Linked DNA regions of Pelodiscus sinensis. The protein of the gene in region 1 purifies or fractionates together with the protein of each later gene. This does not show direct contact. Links are inferred from orthologs where the notes say so. Each region holds a gene or a part of one and is shown on either strand. Other genes may lie near its edges. The genes, in order: NXF1, FYTTD1 and RANGAP1.

Evidence for each region.
Region 2: the proteins of NXF1 (region 1) and FYTTD1 purify together in Homo sapiens (affinity purification with western blotting; 3 studies listed by BioGRID and IntAct, with this or other methods). This does not show direct contact. The link is inferred for Pelodiscus sinensis from reciprocal best matches to the Homo sapiens genes NXF1 and FYTTD1.
Region 3: the proteins of NXF1 (region 1) and RANGAP1 purify together in Homo sapiens (co-immunoprecipitation; 3 studies listed by BioGRID and IntAct, with this or other methods). This does not show direct contact. The link is inferred for Pelodiscus sinensis from reciprocal best matches to the Homo sapiens genes NXF1 and RANGAP1.

The regions. Positions count from the first base shown.
Region 1 is NC_134721.1:36,439,897-36,447,444, forward strand, and holds the start of NXF1 (nuclear RNA export factor 1), read right to left. Parts: upstream 3,020-7,548; 5' UTR 2,876-3,019; coding exon 2,845-2,875; intron 2,385-2,844; coding exon 2,183-2,384; intron 1,818-2,182; coding exon 1,652-1,817; intron 67-1,651; coding exon 1-66.
Region 2 is NC_134720.1:50,951,949-50,959,596, forward strand, and holds the start of FYTTD1 (UAP56-interacting factor), read right to left. Parts: upstream 3,003-7,648; 5' UTR 2,935-3,002; coding exon 2,799-2,934; intron 1-2,798. Other genes in the region: RUBCN (run domain Beclin-1-interacting and cysteine-rich domain-containing protein), read left to right, coding at 5,597-5,634. UniProt on the Homo sapiens protein: Required for mRNA export from the nucleus to the cytoplasm. Acts as an adapter that uses the DDX39B/UAP56-NFX1 pathway to ensure efficient mRNA export and delivering to the nuclear pore.
Region 3 is NC_134711.1:89,278,243-89,286,141, reverse strand, and holds the start of RANGAP1 (ran GTPase-activating protein 1), read right to left. Parts: upstream 3,101-7,899; 5' UTR 2,965-3,100; intron 2,311-2,964; exon of another isoform or gene 2,289-2,310; intron 2,204-2,288; exon of another isoform or gene 2,073-2,203; intron 1-2,072. UniProt on the Homo sapiens protein: GTPase activator for RAN. Converts cytoplasmic GTP-bound RAN to GDP-bound RAN, which is essential for RAN-mediated nuclear import and export. Mediates dissociation of cargo from nuclear export complexes containing XPO1, RAN and RANBP2 after nuclear export.

The DNA.
Region 1 (7,548 bases):
GACAGCGGACATGTTCTGGAGAGAGCTCAGAAGCCATGACTTTTCATACTTCTTTCCATAGGGAATCTAGGAAAAAAAGGCACTTGTAAGTGGCATGTAAGCTTGCAGCAAACTATAGGACTGGGAGCAAAGGAGGTCTCTGGGAACAGTCCCATGGGTGCATCAACCAATGGGCAACAGGGTCCATCTCTCCTCTCAGCCAGAGAGCTGCCTGCTGGCCAGATACCTGGCAACCAACTGGACATTGTGCCCCCTTCACAAATTAAGTCAGAGTGTCCATGCAAAGGTGAGGTGGGGTGTCCTGATAGTTATTCTACTCCAGGGGTGGAGAACCTAAGACACAGGGGCTGGATGTGGCACCCAGCTTGCCTGGATCCAGAGCCTATGCTGGCGCTCCAGCCCCCTGCTGCCTCCCCATGAGGCCAAAGTGCACAAATCTACTAGCCTGGGCCCCACAAGGCTCTGGTGTGCGAGGGGAATATGGGAAGTGTCTTTTTCTCCTCCTCAATCAGGGGCCACATCAGTGAGATTTGGTTTTGGGATGGTTGGGTTTTTTTGCTTCTCACTTGTGTGCTGCCCCCGACTGATTTTACTGTGGGTCAGTAGCTCCTGACCCAAAAGAGGTTCCCTGCCCCGGTTCTATTACATTCAATGATGATAATCATTCGGTGCAAGCATATGCTCCCCGCTGTATGCTGCACTGACTCTGCACTATGGATTTAAAATGTGAAGTTTAACTAGTTCATCAATTAAGGTGAGGGGCACTTCAGCCCACACACACACCCAGGCCCTTGCCACGGCCAGAGCTGCCCCATGCCTGCGATGTGCCCAGACCTGCCACAGACAGGGCTCCAGCCCCCACTAGTTAACTAGAACTGGTAAGCATCACCTGTTAATGGTGATGCCTACCAGTTAACCTTTCACATCCCTACTCTGCACAGGTAGCCAGGACAGCAGACTCCAAGAGAGCTCCCAAAGACCACAAAATCCAATAAGGATCAAAGACACCAGGCCAGGTTTATTGTCAAACAAAATACAATAATAATTATCCATAGACTTTATTAAACCACTACACATGTGTACACCCTCACAATGAACTCAGAGTTCAATTAATGGGAGGTCCCACTGCCTCCTAGGCAGGACAGAGACAGCCCCACCAAGACACATCTTTATACACAGGTACAAACAAGTTACCCACCACTACTGATGTATCTGGTTGACACCCGCTGTCATTACCTAGGTACCACCCATTACCTTGCATCTGGTGGCTCGATCAAAAACATCTCTAGCCATCATGCTGTCAATTTAGACCCTTCATTGAACCTGGGTCAGAATGTCCCTGTTATCTGTGGGGAGTGTGTTGGTACCAAGATTTTTAACAAGATGTCCTGTTACTATCCCTCTGAAATGTGCTTCCAGCCTGTGCCTAATATCAATTAGTGTTTTACGGCTTGGACCTGCCTTTTGCTCACAGATTAACTTTGCTTTATTTATATTAGCAAAATCTTGATTATTGTAGGTCAAGCCTCAGGCCTTATAATAGGCCTGTGGCTTATACTTTAGACCCTGATCTTACTGCACCAGGTTAACAGGCTGTGGGGTAGGGATTTGGCCACATTCCCTGCTCCCTCCCTCACCCTCTGGCACTCACTGTGACCTTGTACCACCTCCTCCGGTTACTGTTGCGAATAGCACTGGCACCCCGGTCCTGGGAAGTGGGCTCTTGTTTCACTGTGACATGGATGTTGGTGGCACCTCCCCGGCCCCGGTTGTGCCAATCATCACCTCGCCTGTTCAGCCGTGGCCCATAGGGAGCACTGGGAAGCAGAGGGACACAAGCTGTTAACATTAAAAGGATGGGGAGGATACTTTGAAAGCTAATGAATCCAGAAACACCTGCTTGAACCCTGTGGTCCTCGCTGCATTGGGATGAAATGTCTACAGCAGTCCCCAGACACACAGGCCCCACTTATCCCCAACACAGGAACAACATAGCTTTCCCTAGTACCCAATCAAGGGCTAAAATGCTGCTAATGCCACCTGGAGGGAAAAGCCCCATATCCCATTCCTTCCCTCCCGCCACCAACCAGCTCCCCCCCGCCCTTGGGACCTGACTAAAACTGGCATCCCAACACCCCGAGGCACTCCACCACACACAATGCCAACAGCACTTCTTACTCACTATCTAGTTCGAAGGCTGTCATGGGCGTCACTCATGGGAACATCTCCATCACTCTCCTCCACCTGACCAGAAGGACTATGACCTGCTACACCTCGGTTCCAAGAACGGTGGTTCACTTCACTGTACATCTTGCCTCGGAACGGGCCCCGGCCTTTTCTCCTTCTCCCAGAGAAGCCCCCACCACCCACACGGTCGTCATGTTCTGTTCAGAGGAGCAGAAGGGGCATCAGACACCATCCAGGAACTTTCCTCCTTGAATGCTCAACACATGGCAAACCACCTACAGGAACCCCTGGACCCTCTTGGGCCCTGCATCAGTAGAGATGAGGAAATCCTACTGATCTGCCTATTGCCACCACAGGGCCCCTCCCCCCAGCCCTTCGACTGCACCCATCCCCCCAGAGCCCCTGGGCTGGGAAACGGGGGGGGGACCGGGGAGGCTCCCAGAAATAGGGAAGCCAGATCCCAACAGACTAGCCCCATGCAGCACCCCCCCCGAGACTCCACAGACCCCCCAGAACCCACCCCAGCCTCCTCCCCACCCCGCCCTCAGACCCCCTCCCCGCCGGACCCCATGGCTCCGCCCCCACAGACACCACCCCCACGAGTGTCCACAGGCCTCAGCCACAGCCCTCCCCGACCCGCGTCACCAGCCCCCTCACCGCTGTAGCCCCCTTTCCCTTCCTCTGCCATCGAGGGGGGGCTTCGCGCGCCGCTCCTGGGCGGGGGAGGGGAAGGAAAATCTCCTACTTAGCCGAGCGGGGGGAACCAGGCAACCGATTCCACCGCTCGGCTCCGCTGCCCCAGCGCATGCGTAAACAGCTCCCGGAAGGTGCGCATGCGGTGGGTGGGACAACCGAAGGCATTGCGCATGCGTAGTTCAGCAGCTCATGAGTACAGGGCGTCCGACACTTTCCGTTGAGAAGATACGCGTGCGCCGAGTTACGCCTCCCCTTATTTGCTTCCGAGGAGGCGGAGCTATTACGCATGCTCAGAAAAGCCCGACCTCTCAACGCGGTTGAGAAAGCTGGGCTGCGCATACTAGCCAAGCGCCCCCTTGCATTGCAGGGCGGTAGCTGCTGGAAGGATGGGTTCCCAGGGACGGAGTTCTTCTTAGGCCGCGGGTTCGAATCTGTCCTGCAGCGACCGCCAGGACCCTCCCCCCCCGCAGGGGAATCTGCGTTCAAGTTGCATCTGAACAAAGAATGTGACAGAGCGACCCCTTCTATCTCATTATCTGCCTTTGCTCCTCTTCCTTCCCCCATCCCTAAGGTCCTGGGTTCAAGTTTCACTGGGGATCCTGGTCTACATTTGGTGGTTGCAGCAGCCACCATCTGCCTCAGTCCCCGGGATTAACCCCAGTGCAGGCACCCAGTTTCAGCAGCCAGGAGTGTTATTATTATTCCTTCCCCTCCTTGCACTGCAAGACACACACGCTCCCAGGGGGCCTCAACTGTGGCAGAAGATCCTGCTTGCCCTGTGCTCTTCTTGTGCTGGGGCTGATGTATATCAGAGGGATGCTATTCTAGCAGTCAAATCCAGCTTCAGGGGCAAAGGAGGTGTAGAAAGGTGTGAGGGGTGGCAGAAGCAGCCTATCTCCAGTGCTGTGTGCCAAAATTAAGATACGTGCTCCCAGGATGAGCAAGTACAAAGTCAACCCTTTCTCCACTTGCCATTTCACCCTCAGTCCCTGGAGGCAGGAGATCAAGTAGAAACCACAGGTTTCATTTTAACATTACCCTAAGGTTTCTAGCCCCCATGTTTGGAGAGAAAAGATGAAAATCATTATCAGAGCCCAAAAATGATTTTATAAAATAGAAATCTGGTGATTTTTATGGAAGGAAATTCATGATTTTTTTAAGAACACAAGAGCAGCCATACTGGGTTAGATCAATGGTCCACCTAGCCCAGAATCCTGTCTTCCAACAGTGGCCAATGCCAGGTGCCCCAGACAGAATGAACAGAATAAGTAGTCATCAAGTGATCCCTCCCCTGTCACCCCGCCCTAGCCTCTGACAGAGACTAGGGACACCTTTCCTACCCAGTCTAGCTAATAGCCATTGATGAACCTATTTTCCATGAATTTATCTAGTTCTTTTTTGAACCCGTTAAAGTACTTGTCTTCACAACATCCTCTGGCAAGGCGTTCCAAAGGATGACTCTGTGCTGTGTGAAGAAATGCTTCCTTTTGTTTTAAACCTGCTACCTATTAATTTCAATTGGTGACCCCTAGTTCTTGAGTTATGGGGAAAAGTAGGTAACTTTTCCTTATTTACTTTCTCCACACAAGTCATGATTTTATACACCTCTATTGTATCCCCCTTGCTTAGTCTTCTCTTTTCTAAGATGAAAAGGCCCAGTCTTTTTAATCTCTCTTCATATGGCAGCCATTCCAAACAACTAATAATTTTTGTTGCCCTTTTTTTGAACTTTTTCTAATGTCAAGGTATCTTTTTTAAGATGAGGCTACCACATCTGCACACAGTATTCAAAATGTGGGTGTACAGATGTGGTAGCCTCATGGATTCATAGAATACTAGAACAGGAAGGGACCTTGAGAGGTCATCAAGTACAGTCTCCTGTACTCCCAGAAGGATCAAATATCATCTAGATCAGGGCTACTCAACTTTGGAAGCCCCGGGGGCCACATTGATACTCACAGCACATGCCGAGAGCTGCAACTTAAGTGTGGTTGCATATACATGCAAATAGATATGCAAATAGCTTATTTCACACTGATAGGCATGAATACAAAGATTAAGCCTTAAGCCATGGTGCTGGACCCAAACATGGTCAGTGTGAGCCAGTCTGCACTTCTCAGGCTCTGCCGACAAGGTTAAGCAGCCAGCACTTCCCACAATGCCCCAATGCTCCCAGCACCTCTTCCTGGGGGCTAGAAATGCCAACACCCTGTACCAGTCAGTTCCAGCCAGCCCATCTGCTTGCATGCTTCGATGCTCACCCTGCCTGAGATGCCTCGCCATCGTGGAGCATGTTCCCAGTGGAGGCCATGTTCAAAGCATCCCACTTACGGGTCAATGTTGAGCTCTGCGTAAACCCAAACTACATCGCAGGCCTCAAATGGGGAATGTGCTGCAAGTGGCTCACGTGTTGAGTAGCCCTGATTTAAGAATCATTTCCGATAGATGTCTATCTAACCTGCTCTTGAATGTCTCCAATGATAGAGATTCCATAACCTCCCTAGGCAATTTATTCCAGTGTTTAACCATCCTGAAAGGAAGTTTTTTCTAAGGTACGTCTACACTGCACACTTTGTTTTGAAATAAGCAATAGTTTCGAAATAGCAAGTTTACACTGCAGGGAAGCCTCAAAATGAGTCCAAGGCCGGCTTCCCTAATGTAGACGTGCTATCTCGATTTAGAGCTGCAAGAGGCACTGGGGAAGAATAACCTAGAATGGCCCTGGTGAGGGGCTATTTCAAAATAGCAGCAGTGGAGCATGTAAGCATCTACACATGTCTTATTTCAAAATAGCTATTTCAGAATAGCCATTATTCCTCATAGGATGAGGTTTTCAGATTTCGGAATAAGGTGTCTGTTATTTCAAAATAATGGAATGGCTGTGTAGACACATTGTTATTTCGAAATAACTCTAGTTATCTCGAAATAACGGTGCAGTGTAGATGCACCCCAATGTCCATCCTAAACCTCTCTTGTTGCAATTTAAGCCCATTGCTTCTTGTCCTATCATCAGAGGTCAAGGAGAAAAATGTCTCTCCCTACTCATTACACCCTTGTAGGTACTTGAAAATTGCTAACACAGGGGTGGCCAACTCATTCTGGGCAAAGAGGCAAGATAGCAGTGGATCCAGCACAAAGAACCGGAGCAAAGCTGTCGAGCAAAACAAGACAAAAAAAGTCTAAATAAGGCTCTGCCCCTTTAAGAAACTGCATTTAAATGCATTTTGAGGTTTCTTGGCCACAGCAGGCTCCTGCTGCCTTCCACCATCTTTATTTCTGCAGCTTTCATGGCTGCTCTGGAGAGCTCCCCTGCCCAGCAGGGCCAGCCTGAGCCCTTTTGGTGCCCTGGGCCCAGGCGCACGGCCCCACCCCCCCAAGGTGCGCAGGCCTGCCCCCGGGGCACATGTGCTGCCCAGCCCGGCCCAGCCAGCGTTGCTGGCACGCGTGCTGGGCCGTGCAGGGCCCCGCGGCCGTGGGGGGAAGGGCACTGCTGGCCGGCTCTGCAGGGCCAGTGCTGCGGGAGCCGGGCACGCGGCGCCTGATGGCAGCTGTAAGTGATGCTGCGCGCCCCTTACAGCTGCCATCAGGTGCCCCTCATCAGTTGACGCCCCGGGCAGCTGCCCAGCTCGCCCATGCCTCAGTCCAGCCCTGCTGGATGTGGCTCACAAAACACCCACCCACCCATGACTTGAAAGCCACCCCAAAAAACAGTCCTCTCCTGGCTCCCTGTGCTGACCTGGGCAGCAAGGCCGGACTCAGGTTGGCCTCAGCTGTGCTAACATATCCCCTCTCAATCTTCTCTTTTCCAAACTAAGACCCAGTTCTTTCAGTCTTCCCTCATGACTCATGTTCTCTAGACCTTTAAGCATTTTTGTTGCTCTTCTTTATACACTCTCCAATTTCTCCACATCTTTCTTAAAATGTGGTGCCCTGAATTAGACACAATACTCCAACTGAGGCCTAATCAGTGCAGAGCAGAGCGGTAGATATTATCTGGCTCATTCTCTATCCCTTTTTTAACGATTCCTAACATTGTTTGCTTTTGTGACTGATGCTGCATATTGAGTGATGTTTTCAGAGAATGAGCCACAGTGACTCCAAGATCTCTCTCTCGAGTGGAAATAGCTAATTTAGTTACCATCATTTTGTACATATAATTTGGGATTATTTTTCCAATAGGCATTACCAAGATTAAAATTCATTTGCCATTTTGCCAATTCATTTGGGGGAGGGATAGCTCAGTGGTTTGAGCATTGGCCTGCTAAACCCAGAGTTGTAAATTCAATCCTTGTAGAGGCCATTTAGGGATTTGGGGCAAAAATTTGTCAGGATGGTACTTGGTCCTGCTGTGAAGGCAGGGGACTGGACTTGATGACCTTTCAAGGTCCCTTCCAGTTCTAGGAGATAGGCAATCTCCATTAATTTTTAATTTTTTTTTTGTTGCCCAGTCACAGTTTTGTGAGGTCTTTTTGAATCTCTTCACAATCTGCTTTGGACTTCACTATCTTGAGCAGTTTGGTATCATCTGCACATTTTGTCACCTCACTGTTTACTCCTTTCTCCAGATCATTTATGGGTATGTTGAATAGGATTGGTCTCAGTACAGATCCCTGCAGGACCTCTCTCCATTCTGAAAACTGACCATTTATTCCTGCTGTGTCCTAT
Region 2 (7,648 bases), on another chromosome or scaffold:
ATGACAAAACTTTTGTCTTTGAGAGATGTTAAATGACATCCCCCCCAGACAAGTTTTGCCCATAAGTGCTCTCCTGCTAACAAAACTAATGCCACTTTTTCAGGACGGAAGTATTTAGCTGGCAAAAGAGCCAACACAAACAGCAGCTACACTGCCCAACTTTTAGCGATACGACTGTCGATATAGTTGTGTTGCTAAAAGTTAAGTAGTGTAAACTTACCTACCACATTTAAAGTGCAAAGCCACAATGGGATTAGCTCCTGGGGCCAGCACAAGCCAAGACTGAACAGTCCTGGGACCACTACAGCTTTGCTTCCTGTCCCCCATCCCCACACCACAGAGATAGTGCTGGGACCCCTGCAGACAGAGGCTACTGCCAGAACAGCCTCCCTGAACCTCTCCCCTGCCCGATAGAGCCAGTATGGGGGAAAGTGGCACTACAGAGACAGTGCTGGGGAAAACTAGCTTTTAAGCTGACTCCTCCCAGCACCCACTCCTTCCCCTTGACTAATTGACTACCCACTTACATCCCTAGTAGGGGCCTAATCATAATACACAAACAAAAATCAACTCTGTCCTCCCACATTCCTATCTTTAAGGGAGCACTGAAACAGTATGTCACAAGTTTTGATCAAATGTAGGACTGTGTTTAGCCACTTGCCAAAGACCACTTGTCATACAATATAAATGGGCAAATTGTAGGCACCCTCATATTTTGAGTTGATCCGCAAAGAAAAATACAACAGCTTGTTCTCTTTTTTGCATCTTCATATGCATAAAGGCAACAAAGTTGTTATTCCCTCTTAAAAAAACCACAACTCTTTTACATTAAGATTCAGGTCTTGTTCTCCCCACACTTTTGGGAAACTTGATGGTAAGATAATGAATGGGATTAAGACCTCTCAAATTCAAGGTAAAATGGAATTAAAGAGAGATTTGTTTTAGGCAGTGTTTAAATGCAGCTGTTTTGGTCAACCCCCACTTAATCCTATAATTTCCATAAGGTGAAAAAAAAGCTCTCTTGGCTAAAGCCTGGCCATTTCCATGGTGAATACACCTGCGTTTCTGAGGTCTTGCCAATGGGTCAAGCAGCAAAAACAGGCAAGGGTGCGATTGCTAAAGTGAGAGATCCAAGCAGCAGCTTTTCTACTTAGGCGACGAGGAGTCCTGTGGCACCTTATAGACTAACTGAAGTGTAGGAGCATAAGCTTTCGTGGGCAAAGACCCACTTCGTCAGATGCATTTAGTGGAAGTTTCCAGAGGCAGGAATAAATATGCAGGCCAGGATCAGGCTGGAGATGATGAGGTGGATCCAATCAAGGAGGATGAGGCCCACTTCTAGCAGCTGATCTGGAGGTGTGAATTCCAAGAGAGCAGAAGCTGCTTTTGTAGTTAGCGAGCCATTCACAGTCTTTGTTTAATCCAGAGTTGATTATGTCAAACTTAAAGATGAACTGTAGCTCAGCAGTTTCTCTTTGAAGTCTGGTCCTGAAGTTTTTTTGCTGCAGGATGGCTACTTTTAGATCTGCAATTGTGTGTCCAGGAAGATTGAAGTGTTCCCCTACAGGTTTTTGTATGTTGCCATTCCTAATATCAGATTTGTGTCCATTGATTCTTTTACGTAGGGACTGTCCTGTTTGGCCGATGTATATAGCAGTGGAGCATTGTTGGCACATGATGGCATATATTACGTTGGTGGATGTGCAGGAGAATGTACCAGTGACAGTATGGCTGATCTGGTTAGGTCCTGTGATGGTGTTGCTGGTGTATATGTGTGGGCAGAGTTGGCACCGAGGTTTGTTGCAAGGATTGGTTCCTGAGTTCGGGTTATTATGGTGCGTTGTGTAGTTGCTGGTGAGAATATGCTTCAGGTTGGCGGGTTGTCTGTGGGCAAGGACTTCAAAGAGGAACTGCTGAGCTACAGTTCATCTTTAAGTTTGACACAATCAACTCTGGATTAAACAAAGACTGTGAATGGCTCGCTAACTACAAAAGCAGCTTCTGCTCTCTTGGAATTCACACCTCCAGATCAGCTGCTAGAAGTGGGCCTCATCCTCCTTGATTGGATCATCTCCAGCCTGAGCCTGGCCTGCATATTTATTCCTGCCTCTGGAAATTTCCACTACATGCATCTGACGAAGCGGGTCTTTGCCCACGAAAGCTTATGCTCCTACACTTCAGTCAGTCTATAAGGTGCCACAGGACTCCTCGTCGCTTTTGCGGATTCAGACTAACACGGCTACCCCTCTGCTACTTTTCTACTTAGGAGAACAATGCCTGGCCTTCCCACAGTAACAAAAAACGGGAACAGAAGCGTGAGTCACTGCGCCAGGCCTCGTCCCCTCCCTGAGTAGTCTCCTTTGCAGGGCAGGCCGGGCCAGACTTCCCTCCCCTTGCAGGGCAGGCCTCGAGCAGACTCCCCCCTCTCAGCACGGTGGGGCTCAGCCCGCCCGCCTCCCCCCTGCGGCAGTGGGGCCTGCATCTCCCCAGCCTGAGGCTAGGTGGGCTGCACGTGCCAGGCCCTGAGACACCGGCCCCCCCGCCGCCCCTCGGGCAGGGGACGTGTCCCCGGAAGTGCTCTCAGGAGCCGCCCCCTGCCATGCGGCCCCCCGCGCCCCTACACTGAACCCTAGGCCCAGCCTCCCCCCGCGGTCTCCAGAAGTGGTCGCGCCCACCCCCCTCGCGCGAGACCCACAGGTGGTTCGGTCCCAACGACTCCCCACTCGCCCCCCCACCCCGTAGCTCGGCCCACGGGCGGCGTCGCCGGGAGGGGCCGCAGCCACCCGGCCCCCACTCACCCAGCGACATGTCGATCTTCTCCAGGCTCTCGCTGCTGCCGCTCCGGGCACCGGAGGTGGCCGCCCGGACTCGGAACCCATTCATGGCCGCCCCCCCCCCTACGCGACTGGCCCAACGGCCGCGCACTCTGCACATGCGCAGATAGCCGCGCCAAGCGACCCAGAAGCCCGTGCCGTGACTGGCCTTTGCGCGAGTAGAATGGGCTAGGCGCGTGCGCACTCGGTAATGCGCGCCGCCTCAGGCGGGGCTGCACATGCGTGGAAGAGGGAGAGGCTCAGTGAGGCGCTCTAGCTTCCTCCCGCGAGGCAACCTGTGGTGTCACTCTTGGGGTGCCCTCTACAGGCTAGGAGGAGCGTATCCAGCCAGAGCTGGCGAGTGACTTCCTCATGCGTCCTTGTGCAAACAGCCTCCTATTCGACTAGCGACCTGTGAAAATGCCCCAGTGAATGACTAAATATCACCAATGCAGGCACACACCTTTGCATGCAACTAAAGATCTTGCTGCAATGCCGCTCGTCCTATACGGGATTAAATTGTTCAAATACCATGTCCCATTGCCCTCCACCTCCAACTAAATACTTGGGAGAGCCGTGATTTCATCCATGCAAATAGTCTCGCCACCAATGCAGATTGCAACTTTTCCACACCATCCTGTTTTGCACGATTCTTGTCCATGCTCTTCCATGAATCTTCTATAAAGGATCCACCTAATGCTGGAGGCCTTCTTCCTGTTATCTTGATATCATTGACCCCGCTTCTTGTGTGCAAATTTTCAATAGTAACATGCTGTAAACCTATTTACACCCACGATATGTCTTTCCTTCAGGTAGGAATAAGAGATCCTCCGGAAAAGGGCTTTATTCCGGAGGATCGTGCCAGTCTAGATGCTTTTTTCCTGCTTTTCCCCAAGCCGGAAAAAAAGCGGCGGACATGTTTATTTAAATCCCGCGGGGGATATTTAACTCCCCCGCGGATTTCCCTATTCCAAAGTCTGAAATTAGCATGGCTATTTCGGAATAGGGGCCAGTCTAGACGTAGCCCTTGTGTGGCCAATTAGGTATCTTAACACACAGCAAAATACCCATCATAAATAACCCAGTGCACTACTATATATACCTGACTGGTTATTTATATTCCTGACTGGTTCTATAGAATTACCAAGCCAAGTACTAATAGGGTTGCCAGGTGTCTGGTATTGATCTGGTCAGCTTGGTATTTGTGCCTTCAGTCCGGTAAAAAAAATTCAGTGGCCCGCAAATTATAGGGGCTGCGACTGCATTTAGGCCCTAGCTCCTCACCCCCATCCCCTCCCTTTTTTTTTTTTTTTTGCTCAACAGAATTTTTCCCGATTTTTTTGGGAGGGGGATTCCGTATTTTTTGTGAAACTATCTGGCAACCCTAACTACTAATGTTAATATTATCATCAAAATATTATATAGACCTGATTTCTGCATTGATATGGTGCTGGAACGGAGCATTGGTTGGTAGCAACATTCACCTGCTCTGAGACACAGATTGTTGGCTAAACCCATGACAAATCAATTAAGTATCAAAGGTGTCAGAAGCTGTTTGTCCAGGTGGCAGGTGAATATCACACAAATCACAGACAGGCTGCACAATAGCCATTCATGGCTCTTATTATCCAAACCAGCAGGTCACAACTGGACATATTCAAAAGAAATGTGAACAAAGGCTCCGATCTTAACAGATATTAACTTCATCCTCTCAATGCCCCCAAATGGACAAGGTCTTTTAGGGGTCATTGAGGTTAATGAAGGAAACATCAGGTCTTTGACTTATATGTAGATTTCATGAGTGTGCAAAATGTCTAGCTAATGATAGATAAGAGGAACTGCCCAGGCCTGTTGCTATCATTGTGTAGAACTAATCCTTAACCTTATAACAGATTTAGCTCTATCCCAAACTGTATTTTCTCTCCCACCCCCATCGTCCATCTTTAGCATGGACTCTGGAAATGCCACTGACAATAGTAATCTTTGCTCTTTTAGGATGACAGTTTCATTTGGAAGAACAAGGAGAAGTCCTGTGGCAGTTTATAGACTAACAGATTTATTGGAGCATAAGCTTTCATGGGCTAGCAGATTGACTTCGTCAGATGCAAGAGTTTTATTTGAGGATCTGTAGCAATCTAGTTTGTAGTTTTTGATCTTTTAAATCCAGTAATTTGTATATGGTTTAGGTTTTGATCTAGGTTAGGGTCTTGACACTTAGTGTCTGCTGAAGTTTTTGCTGTTGCTACAGCCTGGGAAGATACGGGGAAGGACGGAGTGGAATGTGCTTTAGCTGCATTTAGTCATGTAGCAATTGGAAGTGGAGAGAAAAAATACTGTTTTGGTAGGAGCACCGGGAGTTGAATGCTCTGAATACCTCGTTACTAGAGTTTTTGAATTTGAAATAAAAATCCGGTCCAAATATCCTCCCGTACCCGAATGGCACAAATTACGTTTCCTGTGCAAGTGTCCCCGTTGGCTGACAATTACATAACTTTGGGCAACTGTTTTGACTGCAGTCCTCGTGCAAACACCCGCCCCCGGCTAATAGCCCCTCGTGCACTGCCAGCTCGATTCCGTGGCAGTGCCTGGGGACCGGCCGCCCGCGCTCCCGCAGGACTCACGCCGCAGTGCATTGTGGGGATTGTAGTTTCGTCGCGCGGCGCTGCGTGCGAGGGGCGGGCTCGCCGAGTGCGGTGCGTGCTGGGAGCTGCGGGACCAGCCGGCGCGGCTCGCAGGGGGCTGGGCCCGGCCGCGCGGGGAGCAGGAGGCGAGCCCCGGCCGGCATGGAGATCGGGCGCTGCGCGGAGCAGGAGGCGAGCAGGTGGGAGCGCGCTGCGGGGGGCGGCCAGGCATGGGGGAAAGGGGAGAGGGGGGGCATGGGGGGCAGCGGGAGAGGGGGGCATGGGGGGCAGCGGGCTTGGGGGGAAAGGGGAGAGTGGGGGCATGGGGGGAAGCGGGAGAGGGGGGGCATGGGGGGCAGCGGGAGAGGGGGGGCATGGGGAGAGTGGGGGCATGGGGGGAAAGGGGAGAGTGGGGGCATGGGGGGCAGCGGGAGAGTGGGGGTATGGGGGCAGCGGGCTTGGGGGGAAAGGGGAGAGTGGGGGCATGGGGGGCAGTGGGCTTGGGGGTGGCGGGGAGCTGGGGGAAGGGGGAGAGTGGGGATATGGGGGGCAGTGGGCTTGGGGGGCAGCAGGAGAGTGGGGACATGGGGGGCAGTGGGCTTGGGGGTGGCGGGGAGCTGGGGGAAGGGGGAGAGTGGGGATATGGGGGGCAGTGGGCTTGGGGGGCAGCAGGAGAGTGGGGACATGGGGGGCAGTGGGCTTGGGGGTGGCGGGGAGCTGGGGGAAGGGGGAGAGTGGGGATATGGGGGCAGTGGGCTTGGGGGTGGCAGGGGAGCTGGGCCATAGGGGCAGTAGGTTGAGGGGCATGGGGGAGCTGGGACATGGGGGAGTGAGGGCATAGGGGTCAGTGGGATGGGGAAAGGTGGGGGAGCTGGGATATAGGGGCAGTGAGTTTGGGGGTGGTAGGGGAGCTGGGTCAGCGGGGGAGCTGGGACATGGGGGCAGTGCGTCTGGGGGTGATAGGTGATAGCATGCAGGGGAAACATGATTGGGCTGGCAGTGGGGGAGCTGGGGCACAGCAGGGACAGCAGCTGGGGGGGGTGCCAGCAGGGTGAATGGGCATGGTGGAAGTAGTGGGATGGGTGGTGCTGCCAGGGGAGCTTGTTTACAGTTGGGGGCACAGGTTGGGGGTGTGCATGGTGGTATTGGCACGGAGCAAGGATCAGTCGTTGGGCAGAGCAAGTTGTGTATGATTGTGGCTGTAACAGAGCCGTGGCTGTAACAGAGCCATGGCATGTGGCTGTGTAGGAGTGTGTGTAGAGAGCGATGCAGCACTGAGCCCGCTCCAGGCATGCCAGGAGCAGTCGGAGGTAAAGAAGTCTGGACTGAGCTGTCTGCAGGTGTGAGTTGAATACCAGATGCTCCTTAGGTATCTAGCAGATGGAGCGTCCAAAGACAGCAGCTGCCAAATCTCTTCTCTTGTTTTACGAGCTGTCCTCAGATGAGAAACCACCCTGTTCAGACACTGGAAACAAGGGGCATCATCAGAACAGGGTGTCATGTTTGGATTACATCTTGTTCTGTCCCCGGCAACTGGTTGCATTGCTTAAAAAGGTTGCCTGTGTTTAAAATAAATCCATAACCTGAATGCTTGTGGTTGCTAAGGTCTTTCGTGTTCAGGTGCAAGTTTGACTTGGAGTCTGCGGCGCTGTGGTGCCATACGCTGGCAGTTAAACACAAATTCATTTGAACTAAAATAATGTACACTTTGAATAGACTAAATGATGATTGATCAGCTGAGTACACAAAGCCTTCTGTGTTATTTATTTTGATAATAGTGCGTGGGATCACTTGATGATTCCCCGTTCTATTTGTTCTCTGACTATGGGGCACCTGGCATTGGCCGATGTCAGAAGCAGGATGCTGGTCTTGATGGACTTTTGATCTGAGCGAGAGTGGCCGTTCTGATCTTATAAATTCCATTTGGTCTACTCAGTCCCCACATTTTTGGTTTTCATGGTACCATTGAGACTTGCATTGGAAACACAGAACTGCATTATAGAGGCTGACCTATGCTTCAGTGGATGTGTAAGGGGCAGTTGAGGTTGTTGGCATCTGGGGGAGGTAGTTTGCGATAAGCCCGTTAGTTGGACTGTTCTGCTAATATTATCAGCAGTAAAAAAGTAGAGGCTCTCTCCCCCCCCCCCCCCCCCCCCCACTGGAAATTAAACAAACAAAGCTTTAGTCATTCACAGGTGCTTAACACCCCCAAGG
Region 3 (7,899 bases), on another chromosome or scaffold:
ATGTGTATGGGTACACATTTATACCAGGGAGGGGAAGGACGGCTCGACGGATACAGAAGCAGCACCCGGGGAGGGTTATGTGTAATCGTGAAGTTTTACTGATAAACCCAGGCTTTTACATATTTACATTATCACATCTCTGGTACTTATCCAGTCTAGCTGTAACTGTAACAAGCAACGTGGCGATTTTCCACCTTTTTTCCTGATGGACTGTGCAAAATTTACCACGTCAGGCAGTGGAATAGTCTAAGATTCTCTTGGATTTAGGGATGTTAAATATTGGTTAATTGAATAGTTGAGTAACCTCATGAATTCTTATTGGTTAGTTGATTATTCTATAGTCCCCAGGGGTGGGGCTGGCAGTCACTGTATCAGAGGCAGCAGTGCAGGGTGTCAGGCAGGAGCTGGTCCATGAGGGGAGCCAGTTTAAAAACCAGTTCACCTTGAAGTCCAGCTGCCTGTTGTCCAGTGCTGCTGCCTCTAATAAAGAGGCAGCAGCGTGGGGTGGCAGCAACCCCTGTCTAAGGTGGGTCTGAGTTCCTGGACTCAGCACAAGATGGAACTGAACCAGGCTGCTTGCTTGCCTGGCTCCTAATACACTTCAAATAAAGAACCGCAGCAGGAGCAGGTACTGGACCCGGTGTGAGCCAGAACTGAGCTGAGCTGCTGGTAAGTCTGCTAAAACATGTACTGGTAAGTGTGGGGGGAGGGAAACGCATGTAGTCTATAGCATTAACCTATAAGCTTTTGCTTATTGGTTAATCGACCATACAGGCAGTCCCCAGGTTACGAACAAGATAGGGATGTAGGTTTGTTCTTAAGTTGAATTTGTACATAAGTCGGAACTGGCGTCCAGATTCAGCCACTGCTGAAACTGACCAGCAGCTGACTACAGGAAGCCTGAGGCACAGTTTCTCTGCCCCGGGCTTCCTGGAATCAGCCACTGATCAGTTTCAACAGCAGCTGAATCTGGATGCCTCGGACAGAGCAACTGGGGCGCTGCCGGGTAGGTCCCTGCAGCGCCGCACCTCGGCGCTGCGGGGACCAAACCGGCAGCACCCCAGCTGCTCTACCCCAGGTGTCCCCAAGTCAGCTGCTGCTGAAACTGATCAGCAGCTGATTCCAGGAAGCCCAGGGCAAAGCAACTCTGCCTCTGGCTTCCTGTAGTCAGCCGCTGCTGGTCAGTTTCAGCAGCGGCTGACTTGGGGACGCCTGGGGCAGAGCAGCTGGGGTGCTGCTGGATTGGTCCAGTAGCGCCGAGGAGCGGCGCTGCGGGACCAACCAGCAGGGCCCCAGCTGCTCTACCACAGGCGTCCGCAAGAAAAGCCTGCTCTGCTGGGGGGGGGGGGAGGGCGCACTAGCTGCATCCCCCCCCCAGCAGACCAGGGAGACGCAGGCAGTGGGACCGAGGCGCGTCTGGGCAGTCCCGCCGCCCGCGCCCTCCGGGGCGAGAAAAGCCCCGTTCGTAAGTACAGATCCGACATAAGTCGGAGCCGCGTAACCCGGGGACTGCCTGTACTATTACACCCCTACTTTGATTGACTCAGTCTTCTGATCTTGCTTGAATATGTTTCATACTATATTAGATAATTCTTCTTCATTTGGTAATTGCACACGAGGCTTTTGTGGATTCTTAGTAGGGCTGTAAAATCCCATTTAAAATGTTAACCAATTAAACTATATGTTAACTGGTTGACTATATGTTGCAGGCGGGGGGGGTGGGTTGGAGAAAGAGGGGGACACTTGAGCAGCCCCTCGGATGGCCTGCTACACTGCATCATGAGGCTGCTTCAGCCTAGCCAGGCCCCAGCCTGGTGCGCCGTGGGCAGGGGCTGCTCTGGCCAGTCAACTGGTTACCCCGGTAAATATACCGGTAGGGCAATGCTTGCCAGGTAATTGATTAACCCTCTACATCCCTAATTCTTAGCTCAGTTTTGACTAATGAGTGGCCTAAGTGATCTCAGAAGTTTTTCTCTCTCAGGATATGTCTACATTACAGCAACTACAGGTTCACATCACTACTCTACTTCCCAATAAGCATATGCTTATCGGGTAGCTGACTAGTCACTTACATCCCTAGTGCTGGGAATGGTCTCACATTGGACTGCTTCCTGAGTCTGCAGATTTGGGGGGGGGGGGGGGGTGGCTCTGTCCCTGTGCTGCAACAGGCTGAAGAGACAGGCTCAACAACATAGGCTCACAGCTGTAAGGGAAAACAGGCTTTGTGATGTCTCAGCACCTCAGGCGACAGACCCAAGGTGGAGGGTTGCCCAACCCATCACACTCACCCCAGAATGACATAAGTTATACTGAAGCAATCTGTAGTGCAGAGATAGCCACACTAATAGATGATCTGATAATAGCTATTACCACACACACACACTCCTCCGTCTCTCTAATATCCTGGGACCCACAAGGCTACAGCACCACAGGAAGCTGTTTGCCCAGCTGCTTGCTCGGTGACACACTCCGACCGCCCTCCCCCCGACTTCCGCGGCTGCTCTCTGCGGTTACGGCTCCCTGGCGATGTACTCAGGGCGCGACGCGCCAGGTGAGGCTGCCCCAGCGAGCCTCAGTGATGCAACAAGCCTGGCTGCGCAGCACAGAGTCACTCACCCGCCCGGCCCGGCGGCCGAGCCCAGGGGAAGCGGCAGCCACAAGAGCAGCGCGGCTTGGGCCGGGCCACGCAGCAACCGGGCGGGACTCGGCTCCCGGAGCGCGTGGCGCGGCGGGCAGGGGGCGCAGGACCAGACGCCCGGGGCACCCCCCACCCCGCCCCCGAGTCGGGGGGCAGCCAGGAGGGGACGCCCCCGCACAGGCGCTGGGAAACCCCGCCGGGGCGCTGCGCCAGGAGGGGCCCCGCGCACACCGGGCTGGAGAAGCGTCAGGATCCCGCTCCCCGACCCCGCCAACTTCCTGGCGACCCTACAGTAAACAAGCCGCGCGGCCCCTGGGCCCGCTCACCTGCGCGCGCTGCCGTCGGGTGTGGGTCGGACGCGCCCGGCTCCAGCCTGTCACGCCGAGGCCGATGGCGCAGGGGGAGGCGGAGGATTTCAAACCCGGCAGTTTTGTTTTCCCGGCTCTGATTGGCTCGCGAGGCCTCTCGCCCGCCCGTCGCGGTGGCGTAGGCGACAGTTCTTCCCCGTGCGGCATGCTGGGAATTGTGGTTTCCTTGGAGACCCTGGTGAGGTTTGATGCGCGGCAGAGAAGACTACGAGCCCCGTGATGCATTGCGCTGGGGGCTCGCTGTGCCGTGGAGCAGGCCGGGAATTGTAGTTCCACAAGAGAAGAACGCGGCGTGGACTATCGTTCCCAGGATGCCTCGCGCAGCGCCGGCTATTAAAAGGGAGAGGGCGGGCAGGCGAGGCAGAATCGGAGGTCAGAGGCCTGGTGGGTACCTGGCTGTGCGTCACTAGGAGTTTTGTTGCGGTTTTCGTTCAGAGTGGGTAGCAGCTATTTCCATTCTCGTTTGAACCTGCCGGTTCCACAGCTGGGATGGTTGCCAAGCTTTGAACTTGCAAGTCCTGCAGCTCCATGCGACTGTCAAAGTTTACCAGAAACATTTGGTACACACACAGCATGTGCATGGACGTGTTGGGATGCAATTAAATGCTTTGATGTAAGTCATTAGAGAGATGAGTGTGACTCACTAACAGACCAATGTCTGTTGTTAAAAGAGAGAAGTGTTCAAGTGAACACAGTGATAGAAATGTAGCCGTGTTAGTCTGGTGTAGCTGAAACAAAATACAGGACTATGTAGCACTTTAAAGACTAACAAGATGGTTTATTAGATGATGAGCTTTCGTGGGCCAGACCCACTTCCTCAGATCTGAAGAAGAGCTCTGTGTATGTAGCTCAAAAGCTTATTTCTCTCACCAACTGGAGTTGGTCTAGTAAAAGACATTATTACCTCACTTACCTTATCTCTCTAATATCGTGGGACTGACATGGCAACTTCAACATGACATACTCTCTTATCAGTCTATAAAGAACAGAAATGAGAAGTCAGACTGGTTTTAAGACTTACTACACCCTGATGCTCAACTTTTGATAGTATTTGTTCATACAATGTTATAAGTAAATCAGATTATTTTTCTTGTAATATGTGAAAGCATTTTCTCACTTCTGTGCACACTTTATATTTGTTTTATAGCATGCAATGGTTTGTTGTTAAAATAGAATTAACACAGAAATTATACTAATGGCATTTTTTTTACAAAGACATCAAGAAAGAGTGGTTAGATGAGGTGATGTGTTATGATACTTATTGATTATGGTTGTAAGTAGATATGGAACCAGTAGTAAGGCTCAAGAGATATCTACTGGTTTTCTACAGTCTCTGTTATTTGTGAAGTATTTGAAGTAAATAATATGTGCATGAAATAGGTGAACAAGGATTGTGTAAAAGAAAGAAACTACAAGATGTCAAGTACAGAAAAGCCATTGACAGGATTGAGTCCATCTGGCAAAACTGAATGGTGTACTCCTGGAGGAATTCTGCACTAGTGGGCGTGCCCTGCTACATTCATTACACCATCCTGCTCATGGAGACAGATTAGGAAACACAGAATATGGGGGGAGAGAGAAATCACAGACTGGGGCAAGGGCATAGGTGCTTATGGGGTGACAACATTGAGTTAGGAGTTGATTAGCAAGGGACTGTAGGGTTACATGGTGACTGGAGGTAGAGGACTGCCAGGACAGATGAGGATGGGGGTGATGGGACTGTAGGGATGCATGGGAACTGGGGGAGGAATGGGGCAGATGTGCCTGATTGAATGGGATGGGGTCAGTCAGCATCTGCATGTGGGATTCTCCCTAACATACTTTCCCCCAAAAAAACAGTTTTATACTTCTTCCATCCACACCAATAACCCTCCAAGTTCACTCCCAGGCTCCTTCCATCTCCCTCACCTCCTATGCTACTTATGATTCCGCAAAGCCTTTAGATTGCTTCTGAGGGGTGTGGGAAATACCTTTCTATATTGTAGCTTAAATGAATTACTTGAAGTTCCTTATTAATTTGCCTAGGAATTTCAGGAATCTATTTGTTTGAAAAAATCCTTTTTTTTGTCCATATTATTAGAGACATATTTGCTGACAGATATTTTGAAATAAATTACCAAATAATTGAAACTGGCATAATTATATGGTGTTATTTTAACAAATACAATTTGGAGAATTTTAAAATATTGTATGTCGAATTTTTATTTTTTGGCACAGGATTTTTAATTTTTGGTGCAAAAATGGACACTCTTGCGCAAAACAGTTCTTGCGCAAGAAGCCTGCAGTGTAGATGTAGCCTAGCTCTGTGGATCTGCTGTTCAGCTGAGCAGCATTTGAATCTCTCCTGAGCAATCACATAAGCACATAGCTTACAGGGAGCTCTGATTATGACACAAGAAGGGGAGCCTGGATGTGTATATGTTCATGATCCAGTGCCAAAGAATAATGCTGCAACTTTTTCCATGATATTTGAGGCAGAGAAAGAGGTCAAAGGAAAGGCCTCAACCATGAAGGAGAGGCAGAAATATATTCTTCAGTGACTAATCACAGTGTATGAAGCCATCTGGGCTGTGAATTTGCAACGAATTTTGAAAGATGATTTAATGCTTGTCCTTTTGGCATTAGGATAGAGAAATGGCAGTCTGAGAACAAGCACAAAAACAATACTGACAGCTGGTGTCCATTGCCCACCCAAAATTATCCCTATTGGGAGAAACTGTAAGGAAAACCTTGCAATATTTTTATCTGAGCGACTAATTACACAAGCACCACCAGATAAAATCTTTGTTCTGACTTGTGGTTTTCAGGCTGAAGCTGAAGTCTGGTGCTGGACAGCAATAGTTGACCCCCACCAGCTGTGTACTCATCAGGAAGAAACAGACATAAGAATTATTTTACAATGTCTCCATGGTGAATGCCATCAGTGTGGTTGCTAAAGTCAGGAGCTCTGATGTGCTTAATCTTTTGCTGGCTCGCTATAGCAAAATGGCATATAGACAACTTTGGATGAAAACTAGCACATCAAAGGAACCAAAGTACTTTCCTAGTCATGCCATTTGTGTGTGAGCAACTACAATATGGGGCCACTTTTGGAAACTCTGCTCCCATCTCATGCCCTGAGTGGGTGTGATGCTACCTCTTTTATTGCTGGACCAAGCAAAAAGATTACATGGCTTTAACACACATTGGACAGAGTGAGCTGGACTCAGAAAAGATTAAAAGTACAGGTTTCTTTGTAAGATGTATAGCTTGCCAGAGGTCACCACTGACAAAGCACATGTCATTTTGTTCACGTACTTGTGGTTATCAGTAACTATACTTTATCAATGAAGGTGCTAACTACTTTCTGAATGGTATCCTTCCTGCCTTATCTATCCACAGACATTGATCTTTATCTACTCAGGTTTAGCACCCTTTCTCCCTATACTTTATGCACAGAGGTAGGAGGGTGGGCAACAGAACATCTTTCCCCCCCCCCCCTTCCCTTCTCCTATTTATTTTGAGTTTCCTTATCCTCTAATCATAACTCTGGTCATCTGAAGAAGTGGGCTGTGCCCACAGAAGCTCATGATACCATCTACATGTTTTGTTAGTCTATAGAGTGCTCCCAGACCATTTGCTTGCTGTTTTTTTTCTGTAACAGACAAACTCGGCTACCCCCTGAAGCTCCTGTACTTCCAACAGATGGCGCTCTTTTCTTCCACATAGAGATTGTTATTAAGCACTAGTTTGGAAACAGACCCACTGCCCAAATCTAGTACTTCCTCTTCCAAATAGAGTGCTTTGGAAATAGGAGAACAAGGATCTGGTGCTATAGTTGCTGTCAAAAGCATTTACGCAAGAGGGCTTTTGCCCAAATGGGAGCAGCATAGTATTTCCACAAGAACACTGACAATCTTACATGAGATCGTCGGTGTTCTTGCAGAAATTCAAGCGGCCAGTGTAGACAGCTGGCAAGTTTTCTGCTTTTGCAGAAAAACTTGCCAGTCTAGACGCAGCCGGTATGTAAATCAGCAATGACTTGTTTTTATAGCAAATGTAGAGCACTGGAACAAGATTGTGTGGAGGCACCTGTTCCTCAGTGTTTTAAGGCCAGTATTAACAAATATGTAATACAGGCAGTCCCCGGGTTACGTACAAGATAGGGACTGTAGGTTTGTTCTTAAGTTGAATCTGTATGTAAGTCGGAACTGGCATCCAGATTCAGCCGCTGAATCTGGACACCAGTTCTGACTTACATACAGATTCAACTTAAGAACCCCAGGGTCCCCAAGTCAGCTGCTGCTGCAACTGATCAGCAGCTGATTCCAGGAAGCCCGGGGCAGAGCAACTCTGCCTCGGGCTTCCTGTAGTCAGCCGCTGGTCAGTTTCAGCAGCGGCTAACTTGGGGACGCCTGGGGCAGAGCAGCTCGGGTGCTGCTGGGTTGGTCCAGTAGCGCAGCTGCTCCTCGGCTGCAGACCAGGGAGACGCTGAGCAAAGCGGCGGAGGACCCGGGGCCGGACCCGCGGCCGCTTCCAGATCAGCTGGAAGCGCTGCGGGTCTGGCCCCGGGTCCTGCGCCGCTTTGCTCCCCGTCTCCCTGGTCTGCTGGCTCCTGCAGCAGACCAGGGAGATGGGGAGCAGCTTTTCTCGCCCCGGAGGAGGCGGGCGGCGGGACCAGGCGTCCCGCCGCTCCAGTCCTCCGGGGCGAGAAAATCCCTGTTTGTATCTGCGGATCCGACATAAGTCGGATCCGCGTAACTTGGGGACTGCCTGTATGTCACAGTAAATGACCAAATAAGACATTAATTCAATCTGCCCTTGTGGTCCAAGTTTTCTTGAAATAGTACAATATTAACGTGCTTAACTTGTATGCATTAAAATGTTATCTCCATGTTTAGTAAAGAAAATGTT